4 linked regions of the Sus scrofa genome follow. The protein of the gene in region 2 interacts with the protein of the main gene of each other region in a pairwise test. Links are inferred from orthologs where the notes say so. Each region holds a gene or a part of one and is shown on either strand. Other genes may lie near its edges.

Evidence for each region. The genes of interacting proteins can lie anywhere in the genome.
Region 1: the proteins of PTK6 (region 2) and KHDRBS2 interact in binary tests that used the Homo sapiens proteins (3 or more experiments, as listed by UniProt). The two-hybrid records come from large-scale screens. The link is inferred for Sus scrofa from reciprocal best matches to the Homo sapiens genes PTK6 and KHDRBS2.
Region 3: the proteins of PTK6 (region 2) and EXOC5 interact in binary tests that used the Homo sapiens proteins (3 or more experiments, as listed by UniProt). The two-hybrid records come from large-scale screens. The link is inferred for Sus scrofa from reciprocal best matches to the Homo sapiens genes PTK6 and EXOC5.
Region 4: the proteins of PTK6 (region 2) and FCHO1 interact in binary tests that used the Homo sapiens proteins (3 or more experiments, as listed by UniProt). The two-hybrid records come from large-scale screens. The link is inferred for Sus scrofa from reciprocal best matches to the Homo sapiens genes PTK6 and FCHO1.

The regions. Positions count from the first base shown.
Region 1 is NC_010449.5:27,616,061-27,619,576, reverse strand, and holds part of KHDRBS2 (KH domain-containing, RNA-binding, signal transduction-associated protein 2), read left to right. Parts: intron 1-1,662; coding exon 1,663-1,809; intron 1,810-3,516. UniProt on the Homo sapiens protein: RNA-binding protein that plays a role in the regulation of alternative splicing and influences mRNA splice site selection and exon inclusion. Binds both poly(A) and poly(U) homopolymers. Phosphorylation by PTK6 inhibits its RNA-binding ability.
Region 2 is NC_010459.5:62,543,630-62,547,789, forward strand, and holds the start of PTK6 (protein-tyrosine kinase 6), read right to left. Parts: upstream 2,807-4,160; 5' UTR 1,825-2,806; coding exon 1,431-1,824; intron 1,177-1,430; coding exon 1,016-1,176; intron 498-1,015; coding exon 344-497; intron 1-343. UniProt on the Homo sapiens protein: Non-receptor tyrosine-protein kinase implicated in the regulation of a variety of signaling pathways that control the differentiation and maintenance of normal epithelia, as well as tumor growth.
Region 3 is NC_010443.5:186,381,695-186,385,210, forward strand, and holds part of EXOC5 (exocyst complex component 5), read right to left. Parts: intron 3,421-3,516; coding exon 3,312-3,420; intron 3,135-3,311; coding exon 2,919-3,134; intron 1,983-2,918; coding exon 1,794-1,982; 3' UTR 1-1,793. UniProt on the Homo sapiens protein: Component of the exocyst complex involved in the docking of exocytic vesicles with fusion sites on the plasma membrane.
Region 4 is NC_010444.4:59,973,471-59,976,986, forward strand, and holds part of FCHO1 (F-BAR domain only protein 1), read right to left. Parts: intron 2,575-3,516; coding exon 2,433-2,574; intron 1-2,432. UniProt on the Homo sapiens protein: Functions in an early step of clathrin-mediated endocytosis. Has both a membrane binding/bending activity and the ability to recruit proteins essential to the formation of functional clathrin-coated pits.

The sequences.
Region 1 (3,516 bases), on a different chromosome or scaffold from region 2:
CTCCACCCACAGGTGCAGATTTGCTGAGTCGAGCTCTGCTTCCCCTATCTGAGAATTGAGCACTAAGAAAAACCTTTTTAATAAAAGTCAAAACTCCTAGTTAGAGAACAATGCTTAGGGAAGTGAAGGTGAATTTCTAGGCTGAAAGGTATTGCTGTTAGAGAGATCTGAGTAGGCGAAGGTTCTGAGGAAAGTGGCTTCCACCTCTGTTATGGATCCTCCATGCGTGGAAATGATGGGCATTTTTAATCAGATAAACCCGTTAACATGGGTCATACAGTTCCTCATATGAAATCAGTAGCAAATTTGCTTTTGTTTATCTAGTTTAGGTGTATTCACATCGCTTTTCTAATTTAACCCACACGTACAACTAAAAAAAAAAAAAAAATGTTTTTTAAAGTTCTACCCTTTGAAATTTACTGCTAGTTTGAGGGGAGAAGAGTTAAGAAAGGTAAAATATAATTAATATTATTTATGTTCTTTTTTTAGAACCACACCCATAGCATATGGAAGTTTCCAGGCTAGGGGTCAAATTGGAGCTTCAGCTGCCAGCCTATGCCACAGCAACACCAGACCTGAGCCGCATCCGTGACCTACACCACAGCTTAACGGCAACGCTGGATCCTTAACCCACTGAGCGAGGCCAGGAGTTGAACCCACATCCTCATGGATACTAGTCGGGTTCTTTACCACTGAACCACAATGGAAACTCCCTCTTTAAGTACATTTTTAACCACATTTTGTTTCTTTGAAATCCTAAAAAAATGCAAATCTCGTTGAAAACTGAGCTTGAGTCCCAATTTTGCGCAAGTTCACTAAAGTCTTTTAAACTCAATTTTCTCAATATTTCCTAATGTGAAATATGTGAACATTGTGTGAGGTGGTTGTGAGTTTAGCAATGACATGTGTTAAAGACCTAGCACACATTAGCACAGTGCATGGATCGTGTGCTGATTTGCTCTGCAGATTACTAAATTAACCAGTAACAACTTAGATAAAGGATGACAGAATCTGCTCCAAGAGAAATCCATTGTCAAGTTAAGCTGCAGGTGTGTAACTCATGCAGAATCAAGGCCAACAGAATGCTTAACCACCAACCCTTTAATGTGCTCCTCCGTCTTGACCAGGGGGAGGTGACAAAGGATAGCGAGATGCTGGGTAGAAGCCAGATGAGAATCTGGGCCAGTGGGAACTGGGCTGGGGAGGAAGCCTTGGGTCTGCTCATGTTCATGAGGAGCAAGTAACCTTTCACCACTTCTCCAAAAGTATCTAGAAGATCCTGGTTTTCTTAAAGAACAGTGGTCACCTGGAGTTTATCTGCAAGTGATTATTTGTCAGGCACAAAAATAATCCTTTTCTTCCTGTGGTGTACAGTGAAGAGTTAATGGCATTTCTGTAACTTCTTTTCAGACTTAGCATTTTCATTTAGCTGATTAAAATGTGGTGTAGATGATAATTATGCCAAGTTTTTTTTTTAATCATTCAAACACTCAGAAATGATTTTAAAAATCTTTAAATGGCTTGTACCAGATTTTCATTTCCCAAAGGATTTCTAGTTAGGGAAAATTTGCTTAGATTATGCCCTTTTGTCATCTTTTCAGTAAATGTTAAATCAATGCAAAATGAGTAGATTTGTATTTCTAAAAATAACCTCTTTCACAGGAAGAAGAACTAAGGAAGAGTGGAGAAGCCAAATATGCCCACTTGAGCGATGAACTTCATGTATTAATTGAAGTTTTCGCTCCACCTGGGGAAGCTTATTCACGTATGAGTCATGCACTGGAAGAGATTAAAAAATTCCTGGTTCCTGTAAGTGTTTTTCATTTTTTACAAAGATGTTTCTTATGAGTTTCTATTATAAAATGTGCCTTTGATCTTCACTGACTTTTTAGATGGAAATTTATGCTGCAGACTTCTTCTTTATAGAGTTGATATGAAGGTAAAAATAAAAAAGAATACCAAAACACTCAGCACAGGACCTGACATGTTGCCACATAATGACGGTTTGGCAGCAGTATTTGTCTCAACTGCATTCTGTGCCCTGCGCTGTTCATGGCCATGAAGAATAAGAATAAGAGAGTTAACACATAAACACAAATATGTAACTGAAGTTGCGTACCTTTCTCTTGTGTCTAATGACTTGGTAGTTGACACATATTATTCATAATTTTTAATAGAGAAATATTTTCAGGTACAGTGGGAGGGAAAAGAGATTGGATGTGTAATATTTGTAACAAGACGATGTGTTGTTTGAAACTATCAAATGTGCTTTTATGTCATAGTATGCCAGGTGCTGGCTCATTATAAAATATAATATAAAATACCAATATTAATAGAATTGGACATTTGTTGACGTCATGCAAAAAATTGGAAAAATGAACTCATTGTGCTAAATGAGAGAAGCAGAGAATGTTCATTTAGTAAGGCAGCAAATTCAGGGATGCACACTGAATAGAATTCTCTACTGATTTTCTAAGAAATAGAAGAACGAAGCTTTCCTAAAGGTTGACAATTTCGCATTCTAGGAAGAGGTTGTTTAAATAGAAATCTTGGCACCAGGCTTAGAGCTGGGAATAAGATAATTGGAAGAGAATGCTGAGTACGGTTTTTGGGAGTGCTCTGGCAGACCAGGTCCTCAGCAGAGAAAGAGAATAGCTAAGCTTAATCCGTGTGATGAAGAAACACTGCAGTTTTCTAAACTAATTAATGAGCTCAGAGGAAGTCATGAATCTTACAGTTCATTGGTTGGCCCGTGATTTGAGAATGGGGAAATAAACGAAAAAAACAGAATTCCAGAATGGAAAAGTGTCAAAATCAAACAACGTAATCTATGTGTAGGCCCAGTTTAAAATTCTTCTGTCAGGAAAAGGTTATAGAATAACCCCATACTGCTCTGATTATTCCATAACTTTATCTGCACACCTTATTATCTAGTGTAGTTTGAATACCTCTCTAAATAGACCCTGTATTTCTTAAGAATGAAGATCCTGTGTTCTCTACACGTTGATGCTGTTGGTTACACATTTGTACTGTATTTAGCTCAGACCAGACCTCTGATGATATAGGTATTATAGGAAAAAGCTACACCGTCTAGACTAGTAACTCATTTTGTGCCTGTAGACGAGTCAGTTAAATTCTCAGAACTTCAGCTGGATTCCCTGATGGCTCAGTGGGTTAAGGATCTGCTGGGGTCACTGCTGTGCCACAGGTTGCTGCTGTGGCAGCTTCCATCCCAGGCCCAGGAACTTGTGCATGCTGCCAGTGCAGCCAATTAAAAAAAAAAAATTAGCTGATTCATCTTTACAAAGAAGCTAAGGAGATAATAATAACTGAAGGGCTTCTGTCATAGTTATTGTGACTATTAAATGGGGTAATGCATATAAAAAGGCATAGAAAATTGTAAAGCACTATATAAATTGATGTTTTAAATCTTTTTTATTATTACAAGTAGATAAAAACCATCTTGGAATGATGGAGGTGAACTGTATAAGAGAAAATCCTATTTCATTGCTACCC
Region 2 (4,160 bases):
CTGGGCACCACCAGTACCGTCACTTGGTTCACACCTGGCCCAGCCAGCTGGGGAGCCGGCACTAGCTCCCTGCAGCCCCGGCCCCGGCTCCTGCAGGGGGTGGGCCCCTGGGAGGTTTGCGGGGAACCTCTTCAGATTCCTAGAGACCTATTTTAATGGCGTTCCTTTCATTTACATTAAGAATTTGAAATTCCCTTTTAAGGTAAATGCATTCAGGTGAAAGAAAGCCAGCAGCTGCAGCAGGTGCCCCATGGTCCAAGCCAGGGTGGCGAGTGGGGCTCGGAGCGCAGGGCCCCCCACCCCGGGGCCGAGGCCAGTTGCCCCCGGCCTGGGGCGCACTCACCTCGGGCAATCACCTTAATGGCCACTCGGACCTTGTCCTTCCAGAGCCCTTCAAAGACCTCCCCGAAGTAGCCGGCGCCCAGCTTCCGGCAAAGCGTGAACTCCTCCCTCGGCCTCTCCCAGTCGTCACAGTGGGGCAGGGGCTCGGGCTCATGCTGCAGGGGCACAGGGCCAGCCCTTCAGGGGGGCCCCACTCTAACCCCTGCAGGCGGACAGCCGCTGGCCTGTCCTCAAGTGTGGACCGCCTTCTGCCTGGGATGTGTGGCCCTGGCCCTCCTGGGGGCTGCCCGTGGCCTGGCCAATGCCTGCCAACACACCCCCCCCCACCTGCTCTGGGCCAGTGACATTGGCCTGAGTGCCACTCGTACAGAATTCCCGTCCAGCCCTTGGCCCCAGGCACCCACCAGCCTGGAGACTTAGGGCGTGGCAAGAGCTCCGCTGACCTCTGGCTGGCCCCGGGGACAGTGACTGGGCAAAGGGGGGGCACGTCCCCAGCCCACCCCCAGCTCTGCACAGTCACAGCTCCCAGGCAGCCAGCGTCCCCAGGCTGTGTCCCCAGTCAGTCGGGGTGTCAGGACCCACCCCCACCGCCACCCGAGGGTTCCGGCGCCTGAGGAGAGAGGGCTGAAGCCTGGGGGGGGAGGCAAGGGTCTGGCTGTGGCAGGGGCCCTACCTTCCAGCAGGGCGAGGTCAGCCTCAGGCCGTGGGACAGACTCTGGGCCTTGTGGTGCTCCACGAGTTCGGCCAGGCTGGGGAAGGACACGGCCTCGCTGAGGTGCAGCCGGCTGGCCCGCTGCCAGATCTTGTAGTGCCGCACGGTCTGCCTGTCCCGCACTGGATGGGGGGGCCCGCTCGTGAATGGGCAGAGAGCAGCCCACCCTCGGGGGGGGCGCCCCAACGGCGACCGGAGAGAACCCAGACCGACCCCACCCAACCCACTGAGGGATCAGAGTTCCCCGGGCAGGGCCTGCAGGTCCCAGATGCCCAGGGCAGTGGGGAGCCGGGCCGGGGGTGGGGGGTCTCTGCCTGCAGGAAGGGAGCCCCCAACTCAGGCGCGGGGGCGGGGGGCTGCAGTGGAGGAGGAGTACCCGAGAGGACGTAGTTGGCGCCAGGCTTTTCGCTGGTCCTGACCAGGAAGGCCCCCTGCTCGACGCCTGCGGCCAGCAGCCGGTGTGAGGCTTCTGAGCGAGAGATTGGGCCGCAGAACCACCTGCGAGGTGGGGGGTCCTGAGCCTCGGAGACCTTGGCTGTGCCCCCGCCCTGCCCAACGCTGGCACATGGCTGCCTGCAGACACTCACTGACCCCAAGGTCCCTTCTTTGCCCCTCAACTGACCCCCCAGGGTCCCAAGTGGCCCTGGGGACCCAGAAGTGGACACTACCTGGTGTCTCCTGGCTCTGGGGACAGAGCCACCCCCTTCTGTGGGGACAGCAGCCCCCCAACCTTGGGTGCTGTGCTCTGGCTCCCTGGGACTCACCCACATGCACCCACGCGCACACCCACCCACACGGTGCAGCCACACGCGCCCTTGCTCCCCCGCCCCCAGAGCCGGCACAGGGACAAGCCCTGGACTCCGGAGGGCAGGCTGGGGCCTGCGGTCCTTCCCCGGACACCTCTGCCTCCGTGCTCTGCCCTCTGCACTCCCCACTCCAGGGTCCCGTTAGAACGTGGGCCCCGGGGGAGGGCACGGCCGGCACGGAGCCCGCGGGCCATGCCCACCCCCACTGGTCCAGCACCTCTGGAATCGCTCCCATCCACTCTCCCCGCCAGCCTCCCGCCCCTTCGCACCTCTCGAATGTGCTGAGTCCCCAGGCCTCAGGGCCTTGGCAATGGCTCTGACCCCTGCATTATCACTGCCCAGGGCTTGGCCCGTCCTGTCTGCTGCTCTCTCTTCAGGAGGCGCCCAGTGGAAGGAGCGCACAGGAGGGGATGGGGTGCAATGGGTCTTGGGCACACGGCTGCCCTATGGCCCCGCCCACCAAGAGCCACCTGCCCATGATGGGGCAGCCATGCTGGTACAGGGAGCACGTCCGTGGCCCACACCCAGGGCGGGCGTGTCGCAATGGCCTTCCCGGCTCCTCTGACTAGGCCACCAGTCTGGTTTTGTGTGTTTGGAAGGTGAGTGGAGCTTTGCTCCAACAAAGGCCCAGCCTCGGCCTCGGCTTCCTGTGCAGACCCCTCACTGTCAGCAGGCGGCCCCCTGGGTCCTGACACCAGCAGGTGACTGCGTGGCAGCTGTGGCCTCCCTGGAGATGTCAGAAGCCCAGTGAGGGGTCCCAAGGCCAGGAGGGAAGGTCCAGCCCCACGGAGGGGCACAGGGAAACAAATCCATGGGCCCCATCCTTGGCCAGCTTGGTGCCCCTGTCCCCACCTGGAGCCCAGCCACAGGGGTAGAGTTGTCCCAACAGCCACCCTGCCCTGAGCCCAAGAGGGCCACCTGGAAAGGCTCCAAGGGCCACAGGGACACTCACGGCTCTGACTCCACTGTCTCCTTCTCGGCCAGGTAGCTTTGGGGTACGTAGCCCTCGGCCAGCGCCTGGCCCGCCGTGTCCAGCAGGATGGCCCACCACCACTCCTCCTCCTTCCTGGCCACGTGGAAGAGGTCCCCTGCCCGGAAGCTCAGCTCCTCGGCCGTCCGAGCCTCGAAGTCCCAGAGGCCCATGTACTTGGGGCCCAGGGCAGCCTGGCCCTGGGACCCCATGGCCGGTGCCCTGCCACCTTCACCCGTCCAGCTTCAGGCAGCCCTGGCTGGGAGGAGCCCGTGGGCAGGGCTGACCCTGACAGGCCGTCCCCGCCCCGCTGAGCCGCCACCCACCTTCGTGATGAGGTGGCTGGGCCAGCCACACCTGTGCCACCAAGGATGGCCTCCCCAAGCGCCCTGGGCTCTGCCCTGAGGGCCCCAACAGCCCCCACCCATCCCCCCACGCCTGGGCCAGGTCAGGCTGGGCACTCTTGCCCGCCTGCTGTGGGAAAGCTGCCCAGAGGAGGCTGGTGAGCGCTCAGCCAGGGGGCGAGGCGGGGCTGGAGGACCAGGGCCAAGGCGCTCCGCCCCAGACCTCCCAGGAGACAGCCAGACCCAGGGACAGCCAGCTGGCAGCTGAGTCTCTGCTGGACGCCGAGACAGGCGCTGCCTCTCCTGCTCCTCACCCGCGGCACCTGGCCCCACCCTCCAGCCCCTTGAGGGCTGAGGGGACTTCACATCATACGGCCCCTACTCATTGGCGCTTTCGCTTTTATTGAGCAGCGTGGGGACACCGATCCCTTCACTTTGAGATCAGGAGGGTATGTCTCAGGTTCATGAGTGAAGTGCACAGCCTGCTCAGGTCTGAGCAGGAGGGGCAGGCCCAAGGGGAGGGACAGAAGGGCCGGCTGAGCTGTTCGGCACCCTTGGGCTCCAAGGCCCCCCCACCGCAGTCCACCCTTCACTGTGAGTAGAGTGCTCTGCCCCTCAGGCCTTGGCCCTGCCTGGGAGCCGTGGGCCCACACCAACCAGGAAGCCAGAAGTTTCCAAGGCCAAGGTCCGAGCCCTCCCAGGACACCAGCACCAAACCTGTTGAGCTTGAGCCCATGAGACGGCCCAGGGGTGGAGCAGTGACCGCACCTGTCCTGTCTCCCCGCCCAGGGCATTCTCCCGCCCGCCAGCCCGGCCCCGCACACCATGGTTCCCAGGAAAGAGAGAGCAATCCCTTCCAGTGGTCTGGGAACCGCCCAGAACCAGGCGAGTCTGGCTCCAGCCCTCGCTCTGGGCCCTCCCAGGACAGGACGGAGGCAGGTCGAGGCACAGGCCTAAAGGCTCAGGCCAGACCCTCCCGCCCCCAC
Region 3 (3,516 bases), on a different chromosome or scaffold from region 2:
CTCTGATTTGGAAGTCTTTAAAATGTTTTATGTTTTATTTGATCATTTTTCCCTTTTTTTTAAACAAATTGACAGTGTGTACAAAGAGTTCAAATGGCCAGTAGAACTACTGCTTTAAAATTGTTGGCTTTTAAGTAACAGAGGTATAATTTGAATTCACATCAGAGCTTTCTAAAATGGCAAAAGTACAAGCCTATGACTTTCTCTAGTATCCAAAGCCTGTTCTGGCTCTCCTTCGGCTAAGGAATAGAAAACTAGACAGCCTTCTAAAGCTGCCACGATTTCCTAAAATGCTTTGATAAAAGTTGGCATATTTCATTTCTCTTGCTTACCTTGATAACACTGGGCTAAACAGAAAATGAAGAAAATTCAGTCAATAGTAACTTAAATGGTAGCTAATTTGCTTTGGACCTGGAAATTTTGGTAAAGTTGATGAATATTCAGAAACATATTCTTAAAAGTAATTTTCCAAAATTAGGCCAGAAAGTCTACATTCAAGAAAAAAAAAGCCAAGAATGAGTTGAACATTAAAGTTTATCTGTTCCTGGAAGACTATGGACAACACAACGGAAACTTAAATACCACATATAGCTAAGAACGCATTCTCACAGAGCAAGTTTATAGTTTTCAGAGTAAAGGCCTTTCTAAATTTCCACTTGATGTTTAAAATTTTATAAGTGATTTATTATGTCACCATATTAAGCCAATTCAATTAACTACATTCAGTAGGAATCACTTTAAGAAATGCCTTGAAAAAGGTAATGACAGAAACTACAGATTTAAAAAGCAACTAGTCCTTGCAAAGCTCATCTCAAGACTCAGAATATATAATGCTATCAATTCCCAACTCCTCTTAAAATAGAAGACTACCTGCATGTTTAGCCATTCACTCTTATTCCAGTTTAGCATAAAGACAGAAATCTTAAAGGACTACACTGCTGCTAAACATGGTCAATACTTCCCATATGTACCATTAAGACTATACCTCACTTTTTACTTTCCTTATGGTTCTTTAGTTAAGATCTTCCAGCTTATCTTAAGTGAAATACAAAATAAGGTAGTTTTATTACTTTCTTACTAGCATTGGCTTAAAATCTGTTTACCAAATAAGAAATTGTAAACTTTAAGTTTTTTTAACCCAGAAAGCAGATGTATTCTGATCCAGTGCTAATACCTACCTAAAACACTTCATCATTTTAGTTTTGTTTGCAACATTTTCCTTGGAATAGTATTAAATATAATATTTTTTCTGTACTTCAGAAAAAATCCAATCAACCAACTATAGAATTTATGCTCAAATGTTAACCTTTTGAAAGAGAAAAATATTCTCCAGGAAAACCTAAAATAACTCGATTAACAATTACCAGTGCTGAAAAGTTCATTAAAAATTGATAAATAAATGTAGTTCTGCTGTATTTTACCCATTATTAGTGCAAAACAGGATGGTGGAATCTCCCAATGGAATATGTTAAAGAACATGAACTGGAACACTGTTAACATCTCATCTGCCTTCTGACACCAACATTTTCTAGGATGAAAACAATGACATGTAGTTTCACAGAATTTGAAATTTCTAAGTTCAAAAATGGAATTAAGTTCAACTTAAGGGAAAAAAGCAAAATATGGTTAAGCAGAGCCCAAATTTCAAATAAAATCTCAAGGGAAAGTATGGCTGCTGTTTTTCCAAACAGTCATTTTTCCATAAAATGTTGGCTGTGTCATAAGAAACCTCCTGTGCTTTCTGTCAACCAAGACCTGCTGAAGTACAACACATTTCCCTTGTAAATTCAACCTCAGCTGAAATGTCGAGCAAGGCGGGCAGATCTATAGTCAGCACGAAGTTGTACGAAGGAGTGAAGAATGTTCTTGTCCAGGTTAGCAAGTTGTTCTCCTGAGCAGACTTGCTTTAAATTATCTGGGGCAACTACCAGAAGATTGCAAAGTGCATGCAGAGTATCAAAAAGCTGTAATACCAGTGGAATCTGAATTGAAATAAGAGAAGGACAAAAATTATATTGAAACAAAATAATTTCTAGTTTTACTCTCTCTGTAAATTCTTCTCACTTAAATACTTGGTAGTTAGGACTTAGTAATGTTAGATAGTTGAATATTTCAGAATTTTTAAAAGCTCTTGAAGTACTAAAACTCAAATACTTCAGATGTTATATAAACTCACTATAATCTTTCTGGTAAGATTCATATTATTTCAGTTTTCTTAAATAGTAATAATCATTATACTCTTGTGGACTAGAACTAGTTATCATTAATTTAACGGTTTTCTTAAATAATTTAAACCTTAAGGGAAACTGGTTTCAGAAAGATGTACATGAAGAAAGAACATATTTTCTTTTCTTTTCTTTTTTTTGTGTGTGTGTGTGTTTTAGGGCTACACCCGCGGCACAAGGAGGTTCCCAAGCTATGGGTTGAATCGGAGCTGTAGCCACTGGCCTATGCCAAAGCCACAGCAATGCAGGATCCAAGCAGCGTCTGCGACCTACACCACAGCTTATGGCAATGCCAGCCAGATCCTTAACACACTGAGCGAGGCCAGGGATCGAACCCGCAACCTCATGGTTCCTAGTCGGATTCATTTCTGCTGCACCATGATGGAAACTCCAAAAACATATTTTCTTGATATATGCACATATACAGCATCAGTTACGGATGTTAAAAAGGTCACTTGGCTTGTGGAACTAAATTATAGCCCTGTCTAAAAAAAACTCAAAGCAAAAATGTTTTAATATCAAAAACATGATTGGAACAATACTTTTTCAGTTAGGAAATGTTAGGTCTGTCTTACTACAATACCAACAAAACTTATAAACTTTCCACTAATGATTATAAGTCATACACATTTTTTTATGATCTGACTTACGTTCTTGAGCCTATTTACAAGTTTGATATTTGTGAATACATACCTTGAAGTCTTTGGCACACTTCCTATATTCAGCTACATCACAAATTGCTAACATGCCACCCATACAACTATAGGAATATTGTTGAAGATGCTCATAAATAAGTCGATGAAAACGTACTCCAAGTTCCATCAAAACTGTATCCACATTCTTCCCATCCATGGAATTTTTAATCTTCTCCACTTGTTTTCTTACATAAGCACAGACTTTAACACAGGCCTGTAAAATTTTTTCTATACTTATTACATAGAAATGTATATCAGCTTCTCTAAGGAGAAAATATAATTTCTCATTAATCTCTAAACATAAAAGAAAAAAACTTGGAGCATAGCATAAAACAATGAAAATGTTAATAAAGCAGATATTTTTACTAGCATATTGAATCATTTTACTCACATTAGTATACTGAATCAAAACATTGTTTTCATCTTCTGGCTTAAAATCTGTTTTCTTTTGTTCTGCAGCCAAGATATGCTTCATCTGTCCAATCATACAATTTAATGTCCTAGAGAATGAGAAAATCACATATTTGATCCATTTAACTTACTTTATATTTACTTTTATTTATATTATTTAACTTCATGTCACCATAAAACTATTT
Region 4 (3,516 bases), on a different chromosome or scaffold from region 2:
CAAGGCCAGGGATCAAATACGTGTCCTCATGGATGCTGGTCAGATTCATTAACTGATGAGCCATAAGGGGAACTCCTTTGTTCCCTAATTTTTTAAAAAGTGTGATAAAATACACATAAAATTTGCCATCTTAGCCATTTTTAAGTGTACGGTATTAAGTACTACCAACTCCTTTTCTTTTTTCTTTCTTTCTCCCCCCCCAGCCCCCAAGTGTGCAGTGGCTTGATACGGGATCTCACCTCCCAGACCAGGGATTGAACTTGGGCCACAGTGGTGAAAGCATCAAATCCTAACCACTGGACCACCAGAGACATCCCTGCCCATCTGCCCCCCTATTTGTGGCTTCCCCAAGCTGAAGCTGTGGCAATGCTGGATTCTTAACTCACTGTGTCCACCCAGGGATCGAACCTGCATCCCAGCACTCCAGAGACGATGCCGATCCCATTGCACCACAGCAGCAACTCCCAACTCCTTTTCTATTTGTTTATTTTTTGTCTTTTTAGGGCCCACCCTGTATGGAGGTTTACAGGCTAGGTGTCGAATCAGAGCCATAGCCGCCGGCCTATGCCACAGCCACAGCAATGCCAGATCCCAGCTGCATCTTCGACCCAGCAGCTTGTGGCAATGCTGGATCCCTAACCCACTGAGCAAAGCTAGAGATTGAACCCACGCCCTCATGGATACTAGTCAGATTTTTAACCCAATAAGCCACAAAGGGAACCCCCTCCAACTCCCTTTTTAAAACAAGGGTTAAAAACTGCAGATTCTAGGGCTCTGTAAACACAAAGCTTCTATGACTCTAGAATTATAAGCTTTGAATATTTGGGGATCCTGAGAATCTAAGGTCTGAATCTTCCAGGATTCTAGGTTTGTTAAGAGTCTAGAAATATCAAATAACAAGATCTGTACCTCCTACTGCTCTAGATCAGCAGTCAGCAAACCTTTTCTTTTAAGGAGTCAGATAGTTGGAGTGTCCGATGTGGCTCAGTGGAAACGAACCCAACTAGTATCCATGAGGACATGGGTTTGATCCCTGGCCTTGCTCAGTGGGTTAAGGATCTGGCATTGCTATGAGCTGTGGTGTAGGTCACAGATGTGGCTCAGATTCTGAATTGCTGTGGCTGTGGCATAGGCTGGCAGCTGTAGCTCCAATTTGACCCCTAGCCTGGGAACTTCCATATGCCGCACCTGTGGCCCTAAAAAGAAAAAAACGGGGGGGGGGTCCGCTAGTTAATGTGTTCTGCTTATCACAAACACTCAACTCAGTTATTGCAGCTCAACAAAACAGCCACAGACAATATGAACTTGAGTAGGTGTGGCTGTGGCCAACAAAACTGTACTAACTGGTACTGAAATCTGAGTGTCACATAATCACGTCATAAAATATTATTTTGATTTTTTACCAAACTTTTTTTTTTTTTGTCTTTTTGTCATTTCTAGGGCTGCTCCCACGGCATATGGAGGTTCCCAGGCTAGGGGTCTAATTGGAGCTGTAGCGCCGGCCTACGCCAGAGCCACAGCAACTCGGGATCTGAGCCACATCTGTGACCTACATCACAGCTCACGGCAATGCTGGATCCTTTTTTTTTTTTGCTATTTCTTGGGCCGCTCCTTCGGCATATGGAGGTTCCCAGGCTAGGGGTCGAATCGGAGCTGTAGCCACCAGTCTACGCCAGAGCCACAGCAACGTGGGATCCGAGCCGCGTCTGCAACCTACACCACAGCTCATGGCAACGCCGGATCCTTAACCCACTGAGCAAGGGCAGGGACCGAACCCACAACCTCATGGTTCCTAGTTGGATTCGTTAACCACTGTGCCACAACGGGAACTCCAATGCTGGATCCTTAACCTACCGAGCAAGGCCAGGGATCGAACCCACAACCTCATGGGTTAGTCAGATACGTTAACCACTGAGCCATGACGGGAACTCCTTACCAATCTTTTAAAAATGTAAAAACCAGAGTTCCCATTGTGGTACAACTTGATCGGCAATGTCTCTGCAGCTCCAGGACCCAGTTTCCGTTCCTGGCCTGACACAGTAGGTTGAAAGGATCCAGCACTGCCAATGCAGGTTGCAGCTGCAGCTCAGATCCAATCCCTGGCCTGGGAACTCCATATGCCATGGGGCAGCCAAAAGAGAAAAAAAAGTAAAAAATCACCGCCAGCTTGAGCGAGGGCTATACAAAAACAGACCATGCGTGGGATATGGCCCGAGGGCCATAGTTTGCAGACCCCTGCTCTAGAATTTTCAGAGTCTGAAATTCAACAATGCTCAGGTCTTTGAGATTCTGGGTTTGATGTCCCCAAATTAACAGAATTTTCAGAGGCACATACACGAGGGGCTGGAGGTTCTAGGTCCCAGAAGTCTGGGGATCCTGGAAGCCACTGGGAACCCCCCTTCCACCGGCAGGGCAGCATACACAGCACGCACCTTCTTGTGTGTCTTGAGCTGTTCGTCACTGTAGCGAAGCACGTCCTTGATGAGGTCCTGTAGCTTCCGTGTCAGCTCCAGGTGGCAGAGCGCCAGCTTGTCTGAGGAGACTCGGAAGACCTCCCAGAGTGGGGCGAAGGTCCTAGAAACAGGTGGGATCACACCCAGGGCATGCCCAACCCCCGAGGTCCCCTCAGAGAGCATGACCAGCAGTGGCTCAGGCACCTAATGTGCCCTGGGCCCCGCCAGGCATTAACACATATTCATTCATTCATGTAATCCCCACTGCAGTCATATGAGGTGGGTCTATGGCAGATGGGGAAGCCGAGGCATGGGAGGCTCCATAATTATTTGTTCCTCGGCAAATGAACATCAGAACTGGAATTTATTTATTTATTGCTTTTTTTGGGAGGCCGCCCCCGTGGCATATGGAGGTTCCCAGGCTAGGGGCTGAATCCGAGCTGTAGCTGCTGGCCTATACCACAGCCAAAGTAACGCAGGATCCGAGCTGCTTCTGTAACCTACACCTCAGCTTATGGCAACGCTGGATCCTTACCCACTGAGTGAGACCAGGGATTGAACCTGCATCCTCATGGATGCTAAGTCAGATTCATTTCTGCTGAGCCACATCGGGAACTCTTGGAATTTATTTATTTATTTATTTTTATTTATTTATTTATTGTCTTTTTGCTATTTCTTTGGGCCGCTCCCGTGGCATATGGAGGTTCACAGGCTAGGGGTCCAATCGGAGCTGTAGCCGCCAGTCTACGCCAGAGCCACAGCAACGCAGGATCTGAGCCGCGTCTGCAACCTACACCACAGCTCACGGCAACGCCGGATCGTTAACCCACTGAGCAAGGGCAGGGACCGAACCCGCAACCTCATGGTTCCTAGTTGGATTCGTTAACCACTGCGCCACAACGGGAACTCCACTCTTGGAATTTATTTATTCATTTATTTTTTTAGTCTGTACCCATGGCCTAGGGAAGTTTCTGGGCCAGGGGTTGAACCTGAGCCACAGCAGTGACCCGAGCCACAGCAGTGACCCAAGCCACTGCAGTGACAATGCCAGATCTTCAACCCA